2 linked regions of the Macaca mulatta genome follow. The protein of the gene in region 1 interacts with the protein of each later gene in a biochemical or structural test. Links are inferred from orthologs where the notes say so. Each region holds a gene or a part of one and is shown in the gene's direction. Other genes may lie near its edges.

Evidence for each region.
Region 2: the proteins of CASK (region 1) and F11R form a complex in vitro, tested with the Homo sapiens proteins (2 studies listed by BioGRID and IntAct, with this or other methods). The link is inferred for Macaca mulatta from reciprocal best matches to the Homo sapiens genes CASK and F11R.

The regions. Positions count from the first base shown.
Region 1 is NC_133426.1:41,839,209-41,843,449, reverse strand, and holds the start of CASK (peripheral plasma membrane protein CASK), read left to right. Parts: upstream 1-1,441; 5' UTR 1,442-1,483; coding exon 1,484-1,542; intron 1,543-4,241. UniProt on the Homo sapiens protein: Multidomain scaffolding Mg(2+)-independent protein kinase that catalyzes the phosphotransfer from ATP to proteins such as NRXN1, and plays a role in synaptic transmembrane protein anchoring and ion channel trafficking.
Region 2 is NC_133406.1:105,860,905-105,865,013, forward strand, and holds the start of F11R (junctional adhesion molecule A precursor), read left to right. Parts: upstream 1-1,309; 5' UTR 1,310-1,453; coding exon 1,454-1,517; intron 1,518-4,109. UniProt on the Homo sapiens protein: Seems to play a role in epithelial tight junction formation. Appears early in primordial forms of cell junctions and recruits PARD3.

The DNA.
Region 1 (4,241 bases):
ATTTTGTTCCTGACAAGTCTAACATGTATAGGGAGTATACAGAGCAGTGTAGGTGCTGGGAGTTTGAGGGCAATATACAAAGGAGCTTAAAGTCGCGGTTTGTCCCTGTCTTCCTGGCTTCTCTCTAGGTTGGTCTCTAGTGAGGGTAGGCGCTGGATAGGTATTTGTTGAGTTTGGGGCAGAACGTGGGAGAAGCTGTCTCTATAGATGACCGTTTGCTGTCGCACACCTTCCTAGGCAGTTTTTGTTTAGTCCTTTTCTCGGACGACCTCCCCTTGCCCCCAGCCCTCATCTTCATTAAGGAATGACAGGGTAGCACTAAAAGCATCCGCTGCCAAGCACGGATTCAGTGACAACCTCTCTCCACCTCTCTTTTAGCTTTCTCATTCATTAGCACCCTATCCCTGCCTCTTTTCCCAGCAAAAAGCTGGGAAAGGCTCCCTGCGATTACAAAAGAAGGAAAGGGGAGCGGCCAGAGTTTCGAGCCTCTTGCGGGACAACGAGCGTACAGCCGTGGACCTTTTGTCTCCAGCCCCTTTCGCGGCTTGGTCGCCGCTAGGCGCGGAGGCGACGACCCCAACCAGCCCCGCCTCGGCAGCTGCAGCCGGCGCGCCCCGCTCAACCCCCCGCGCCCTCTAGAATCCCGGTGCCCGCCCGTTTGCCGTGACGCGGCCCGCGCCGCGCGCATGCGCCGCTCAGCCCGCTCCCCTTTCCCTGGGCCACCGCCTCCCGACGGGCTAGAGTGGGCGGAGTCTGTGGTTCTGGAAGCCGCGCCGCCGACGGGGGAGGAGGGCGTGTCTGCGCGAGGCGGGTGCGCGGGGCTGGCTAGCCGGTCGGCTGCTGAGGCGGAGGGGCGGAGCAGAAGGCGGCGGCCGCGGCTCCCGCCCGCACAGAGCGCCAGTCCCGCGAAGCCCCCTCCCACTCCCGGGCGGGCGGTGGCGGCTGCGGGAGGAGGAGAAGTAGGAGGGAGCGTCTCTGCCACCGCCTCCTGGTCCCCAGCGCCGATCCGCCGCCGCCACCTCCCTCCGCGGCGATCCTCCCTCCATGGTCCTGCCGCGGCCCCCTCTATAGCCCGAGCTGCTCCGCGACGCGACGGAGCCGGCCTCGGACAGAGGGAGCGGTCGCGGCCTCGCGGCCCGCGCGGGCTGACGAGCGGAGAGCGCGACGCCGCGCGGTCCCCGAGGATCCGCACGCCGGGCAGCGCGGCCCGAGCAGCGCGAGGAGCAGCGGGCGGGCGGGCGGCGCCGGGCCCGGGCCGCCCTCGCTCCCACGCCCCGGCCCCGCCGCCCGCGCCGGGGCGGTCGCCTGCAGAGGAAGGCGCCGCAGTCTCTGGGCCTCGCGGCACCACTCGAGCGTCCTCGGCACCGAGGGCTCGCGGGTCCTGAGGGGAGGAGGCGATCCCGGGGCTGGGCACTGAGCTCTTGGGCGCCCCCACCCCCGTTTTCGAAGCCCTCCACGCTGCGGCCGCTATCCCCTCCGGACCATGGCCGACGACGACGTGCTGTTCGAGGATGTGTACGAGCTGTGCGAGGTGATCGGAAAGTGAGTCTCCACGCGAGGGAGCGGGAGTGTGGAAAAATGCATTTCAGTGATGCCCCGGTCTTCCCGCACCCGCTCCGGGCCTGCCCCCTGCCCTCTCTCCTTCCCCTCTTCCCCTCTTCCCCTCTCGTCCTTCTCATCTTGGAGTATTTATAGACGTGTACCTGGAGCTCCTGCCAGGCGGGGGCCTGGGGGTTCTCAGCGGTCCATTGAGGCCACCGAGCCGAGGCTGGCCACCCCGTAAGGCGTGGGGCCGGCTGCCTGCATTTTATCTGACGGTTGCACAGGGACGTGGCACAGCCGATTTTATAGTTGCTTCAGTTGGGGTTTTTGTTACCTTGCATGTGCCATAGACCATTTTTGAAAAGAGCAGCTTGCATTTCCTTTGCTTGTGTGGTGAGAGAGAGAGTGAGTCCAGGGTTTTAATTGTGGGGTGTGTGTCTATTGTGCGGGATATTAGACAGATGCCTTTGTGTACACCCCATGCCCGGATTGGAGGGGATCATTTAAGACCGGGTGCGTTCAGTTTCAGCACATTCCCTCCTGGTGTACATGAACGTGGAAAGAGTTGGGGGCATTCGAATTTTTAATGCTTCGTTATGCAATGACTGTTCAATCAGTGCTCGAGGCTCCCCTCGACTGTTGTTGGGATGGTGGTTAGCGTGGTAGAGCCGTCTGCTTTGAGTCACCGGGCTGGTCTAGAATATAGAACTGACAGTCCAAATGCTCATCCTTTCATCTGTGTTGTATAATTACGCTGGGGAAAAGCAGGGAATCAGATTAATCACAGTGCTGATTGAGAATTAAATCTGCAGTTCCTCATCTAATTGTCCATTCCTTAAATCTATTTTGAATAGTTTCCTTTTCATTCTTGTCAAACAGTATTCCAAGTGCACAATCCTGCTAATTTGCTTGTGAAGGAAATGCTGGCAATCTGAAGTTGATTTCCTAACACAGCGTGTATTCTGTGGCTTTAGAAGTTGAGGAGATAAGATTTAAGAGCAAATTTTTGCTTAATAAGGATCGCTAGAGCTACCATTGAAATATCTTACCTCTTTTTTTTTTTTTTTTTTTTGGAAGCGGTGCTTTATTGTCTATTTTAAGGTCCACAGTTGGGAAATGAAACCAAGACCTTAGAGCAGTTGGCCCTATCTCTTTTAAGTTGTCTGCAGTACACGATTTCAATTTGAGTGCTAATTTGTTTCCTTTTCTTTCCATATTGAGGTATTACAGTGTTGCCTCACATGGTGAAATTGTGGGTAGAGCTTGCTACACACTTTACTCAGACCCAATTGATATGAGGACATGTTACTCCTTGCCCTATTGTTACATGACCAGCCAGACTGTTAAAAGGAAAGTATCCAAATGTGTCCTGTTAAAGTGGTTGTGAAGTGTTCTAGAACAGCACTGTCCAAAAGATATATTATGAGCCACATTTGTAATTTAAAATTTTCTAGTAGCCACATTTAATAAAAACATACAGGTGCAATTAATTTTACTAAAATATTTTATTTAACCCTGTAGATCCAAACTTAACACTTAAACATGTAATCAGTATGAAAAAATATTAATGAAGTATTTTACATCTTTTATGCTAAGTCTTTGAAATCCCAATGTGTATTTTACACTAACAGCACATCTCAATTCTGACACTAAGCTACATTTCTGATAAAAATCAGAAATACTTAATCTGTATTTAGGTTTCATAAAATGTGCATTTACAAAAGTAGATTCACATACCCAAGTTACCCAATATACATACCCAATATACATAAAAGTTTTCCAATAACTGAATCAAGTACGTTTTTCTAAATTTAAATTTTAATTAATTAAAATTAAATAAAATTCAAAATTCAGTTTCCCAGTTGGACCAGCCACGTTTCAGGTGCCTAGTAGCCACATGTGAATAGCACAGTTCTAGAGAGAAAAATGTATCAAAAATCTCCTTGGTTTCCTCATTCTTAGCAGCACCCAGTGAAGATAAATTAGGTGTTTCCCAAGAGCCTCCAAATGACCGTATGTGTGGGTGAATTACGTTTGTTGCATCTTAGTTATAGCTGATGTAAACGAACTAACAAAGTCATAATTGGAAAATGTGAGATTAAAATGTTAATTATATTGTGAAGATGGAAAATAGCCATCACTGAATCAGTTTTGGTAACCAGTTCTGATTCCTTAAGGTCTGGAAGGGCGATGATGTGATCTCTTTGGATATCAAAAAGAAATGGTCAGAATCACATTAACACAGTCAGTATTCCGCTGATTTGTAATTGATAGAATATTTTCAGGAAACACCCCTGGGAGAAGAAAATTCATCTTTTCTGGCTGTTTCAGAGCTGCATAAAGAGGGGCAGCAAGCTAATTTTGAGGTGATAGGTACTCTGTGGCTACCTTAACTACTATGAACTGTGAAATCTCATTCATATTTGAAACCAATTCAAATATGTGCCAATTATAAAATGCCATTACGTGAAATAATGAATTCAAGCTAGCCTTATTGTTAAATAATGTAATAATAGTGTTCCTCAACCTGAGTAAAGGTTGAAGGTTTCTCCAGTAAATTGCCTTAGTATATATTGATCTGGAAATTGAAATTAGCTTGAGATTTTCTTGCAGGGACCTTGACAGCATACATTTTTAACTTAGAATTTGTTCACCTCTGAATTTGAACAGAAAGCCCTTGAAGATGTTCGCATGTGCTG
Region 2 (4,109 bases), on another chromosome or scaffold:
ACCATCCTGGTTAACACGGTGAAACCCCGTCTCTACTAAAAAATACAAAAAACTAGGCGGGCGAGGTGGCGGGCGCCTGTAGTCCCAGCTACTCGGGAGGCTGAAGCAGGAGAATGGCGTGAACCCGGGAGGCGGAGCTTGCAGTGAGCTGAGATCTGGCCACTGCACTCCAGCCTGGGTGACAGAGCGAGACTCCGTCTCAAAAAAAAAAAAAAAAAAAAAAAAAAAAAAAAAAAAAGATGTAACAATATAAATATTAACAGAAAGTTTGAGTATCAACATCGTCTATAGAAAAAAGGCGGCTTAGTCAGCACACAACTATTAGTCACAGTGAGAAAACAAATAATTCTGAAATGTAGGGACCTGTTCACAGATCAAATATGTGTAAAGGACATATCCACAGTCACCCAAAGATGTTTATAGAGCCTGTTCAGCTCAGTTTGTATCATCTGGGTGTGTTTTGTGTACATCTGTTTAACTTTCTTCTTGAGATAACGTCATTCCGCTTTTCTCAAATCGTATTATTGTGGGTTTAAAAAATTTTTTGTTGTTGTTTGTTTTTTGAGACAAGGTCTGGCTCTATCGCCCAGGCTGTAGTTCAATGGCGCGATCTAGGCTCACTGCAACTACCGCCTCCGGGCTCAAGTCATCCTCCCACCTCCGCCTCCCAAGTAGCTGGGACTATACTGACCAGGCTCCCATTTTCCAATTGAGTGCTCCCTTTCCCTTGTTTTTTCCCTTTCTTCCTCCCAGCGCAGCTCATCTCTCAAAGCCTGTGAATGCTGCCGGTGGGGTGGACAGAGGAACAGTTTGGAGATGGTGTCAAGGTAACATTCCATTTCTCTCCCGGTCTTCTCCCCCGCCCTCCCATGTTAATATGTGGTTTTCACTTGCCAAGAGGCAGGCCCAAAGTTTCTGCAGCACCAAACTGCAGGTGCAGTTGCACCAAGCAACTTACATTCAAACAAACGCAAAATCACAAACCAAGCCCGTCTCCATAAATCCCACACCACGAATGCCTTCCCTACTTCCTCCTTAGAGGTACTTCTCAGCCCTCCAGCTCCTACTGAGAACCCAGTCAGTCAGGAAGTCCCTACTTCAGGAACACCAACTAATCAGGGGGCCGTCACCTGCTGAAGGTGCGGCATTCGTCTCCTGACGCGACAGTCTCCTGGGCCAATCAGAGGCAGCTCAGGTGGGGAAAGGCGCAGTGCGCCGAGGCGGGGAGTGGCGGCAGGGTAACACCTGGCGGAGGTGACTCGCTCTGAAGAGCGGCGGTTCCTTACTCCAATCGGAACGCGCCGGGGTGGGGAGCTGGCCAATAAGCCGCGGAGGGCGGGGCCAGGCGGGGCTCCACCTGGCGGCTGGCTCTCAGTCCCAGCGCTGAAGTCTGCGGAGCTGTGTCTGTTCCCAGGAGCCCGTCGGCGGCTGTTGTACCGGAAGCCTGATCGCGATGGGGACAAAGGCGCAAGCCGACAGGAAACTGTTGCACCTCTTCATATTGGCGATCCTGTTGTGTAAGTTCCCGGAGTTTCGGGAGGAATCGGCCGGTCGGGTCGGAGGTTGGAGGAAGCCTCTCCCCACGCCCTTAGCCCGCGGGAGGGGAGGAGCTCAGAAACCTTCCTACCTCGCTCTCCTAATTCTCTTTTCCACCCCTGGCTGGTCCCTCTTTCACCACTCTCACAGCTGGGTGAGTGGCTGGCTCCCCTCCCCCACACTGGTGAGCTGTGACCGTACCCCTCACGCTGCACACACCAGAGGTACACTCCTCGTCCTCACTGCAGAGGGCCGTCAGGCCAAAGACCCTTCCACACTCATCTACCCAGCGCGCGCTCCACACGCCCCTGGGAAGGGCTAGCCTGCCCCTCCAACGCGCACCCACGAACCCCGCTGCGCAACCGGGAGCCTTGGCTCCTTAAGGGTCCTCGGAGAAAATCGAATGGCAGTGGTCTAGGGTGGAAGTCTCTTTCCCTAGCTTTTGCTGAAGGAGTCTCTGGCTCTTCTGAATCTTTGGATTGCGGCCATTGCTCTGGGAAAATGTCTGGGTGCACAGTCTAAAGAGGAAATGCAATAGAAACCTGAAATTTCTCTAAGCGCAGCAGAGGTTCCAGCGAAGTTCCTTTCTGGAATAACTACCTCAGGAGTCCTTAATACGTGTTGTTGACTCTTCCCAGGGGGAGAGTGTATCTGTTGGTTGCCTTGATTCTCATCAGAGCCAGAGCTCTGCCCTCCCACTGGCTGTGTATGAGAGTTTTTGTTTCCTTTGTAAACTCCCTTTCCTGAGGAACAATGAGGCTCACTTGCTAGGGCATGCCTCTGTCTCTAGATGTGTTTGTGTGGGTCTGAGCGTGTCGTCGGTTGGTTTGTGCGTTAGTCAACCTGTGGCATCACCTGTGTGTTTATCTGTCTGATTCTTGAGTGTGCGTGTCCTTGTGTGGGTAGTTGTGCCAGTATGTGTTCTACATGAGTCTCCCCTCACCCCCAAGGTTCTTTTTTTAGAAAGTGTTAAATAAATGAATGATTACAATCAGTACTGGTGTCTGTAGATTCCCTGCCCTTAGATGAATTGACTGCTCATTTGTACCTTATCACAACATAAACCCTTGGGGGAGATTGGACCCGAGGCATATCTCGTCCTCTTTGTATTTTACTGATAAGGAAACAGGTCCAAGAGGGGAAATGACTTCCAGGTTGACAATAGAGTTAGGGGTGGAACCTGGGAATGGAACCAAACCCTCTCGACTTGCTTTTCCTTTTTCCATTTTTGGATCCAGCATCTCAGGCACCCTGTAGCACAAGATCTGTTTGGGATACTGCTTCAGAATCTACTCTCTGTCTTACCTTTAAACTTACTTGCCTACTAGCTTCTTCATTCATGTCTCCCCCGCCTCCTTTTTTTTTTTTGCCCAGGCTGGAGTGCGATGGCGCCATCTTGGCTCACCGGCAACCTCCGCCTTCCAGGTTTAAGCAATTCTCCTGCCTCAGCCTCCGGAGTAGCTGGGATTACAGGCATGCACCATCACGCCCGGCTAATTTTTTTGTGTTTACTAGAGACGGGGTTTCACCATGTTGGTCGGGATGGTCTTGAACTCCTGGTCTCAGGTGATCCACCAGCCTCGGCCTCCCAAAGTGTTGGGATTACAGGTGTGAGCCACCGCACCTGGCCATGTCTCCCTTTTATTCTACTCTTTGATTTCCCTTTTCTTTATTTTCCCTTTTTTCCCTACCCCTTGCCTATTTTACTTCGGCTTGTATTTTAGAACTGCTAGTGACAACCATAGTTAATTTTTGGTTATGTGGTTCTGGCACTAAAGGTTTTTCCAACCTTTGTACTGTGCCAGTATTTTTCCCCTAAGCCCAGAAGTTTCTTCTGGGTGAGTGACTGTATTTGTAACAGTTTTTGTCTATGACAGTATTTGTCAGGCTTAAAAGTTTCCTGGAGCTGCTTCCTCCCTATCCTTTGCCACTGCTTCCTTTCTTTTTTCTTCTTCTAATTTCCTATATTATTTATGATAATCCTAAAATAATCATATACTGGCACTGGAAGGGTTGTGATAGCACCATTTTGAGCTTGGAGGTGTCTTCAGGGAACCAAGCCACAGTAGTGCAGAGGGAACCTGAGATGATGTCGCATTAGCCTGTTAGGACAGTGGGTCCTGGGAAGTGACATGTCCAGGGAATGGAGGAACTGACCTTGTAACTTTTAAATCAGGCTAGATCTGGGGTGGGGTTGGGGGAGGGGAGTCATTTGGTTAGTGCAAATGAGGATGGAAATGGGAGCCGGGCCGCCACACCTGCGTTCTAGCTTGGCTTTCTCTCTGCCCTGTTTGTGATCTTAGGCAGTAGCTCAGTCTTTTCATCTGTAAAATAGGAGTAATACTTGTCCCACCCTTGTCATGAGTGTGGTATCACCACTGAGGAGTTCCGGGTGGGCAGGGCAGAATTGCCCTGCATCTGGGTCATTCTCTGAGTCCCGGTGTTTCCTACTGATGTTTCTGACTCAAGCCCTTCTAGCTTTGCCCTTTCAGGGGCAGGCATACCTCAAAACTGTAGACTGGTGAGTTACTCCTCCTTTCCTCTACTTCTACTCCCAGGAGTGAATTGTTCCC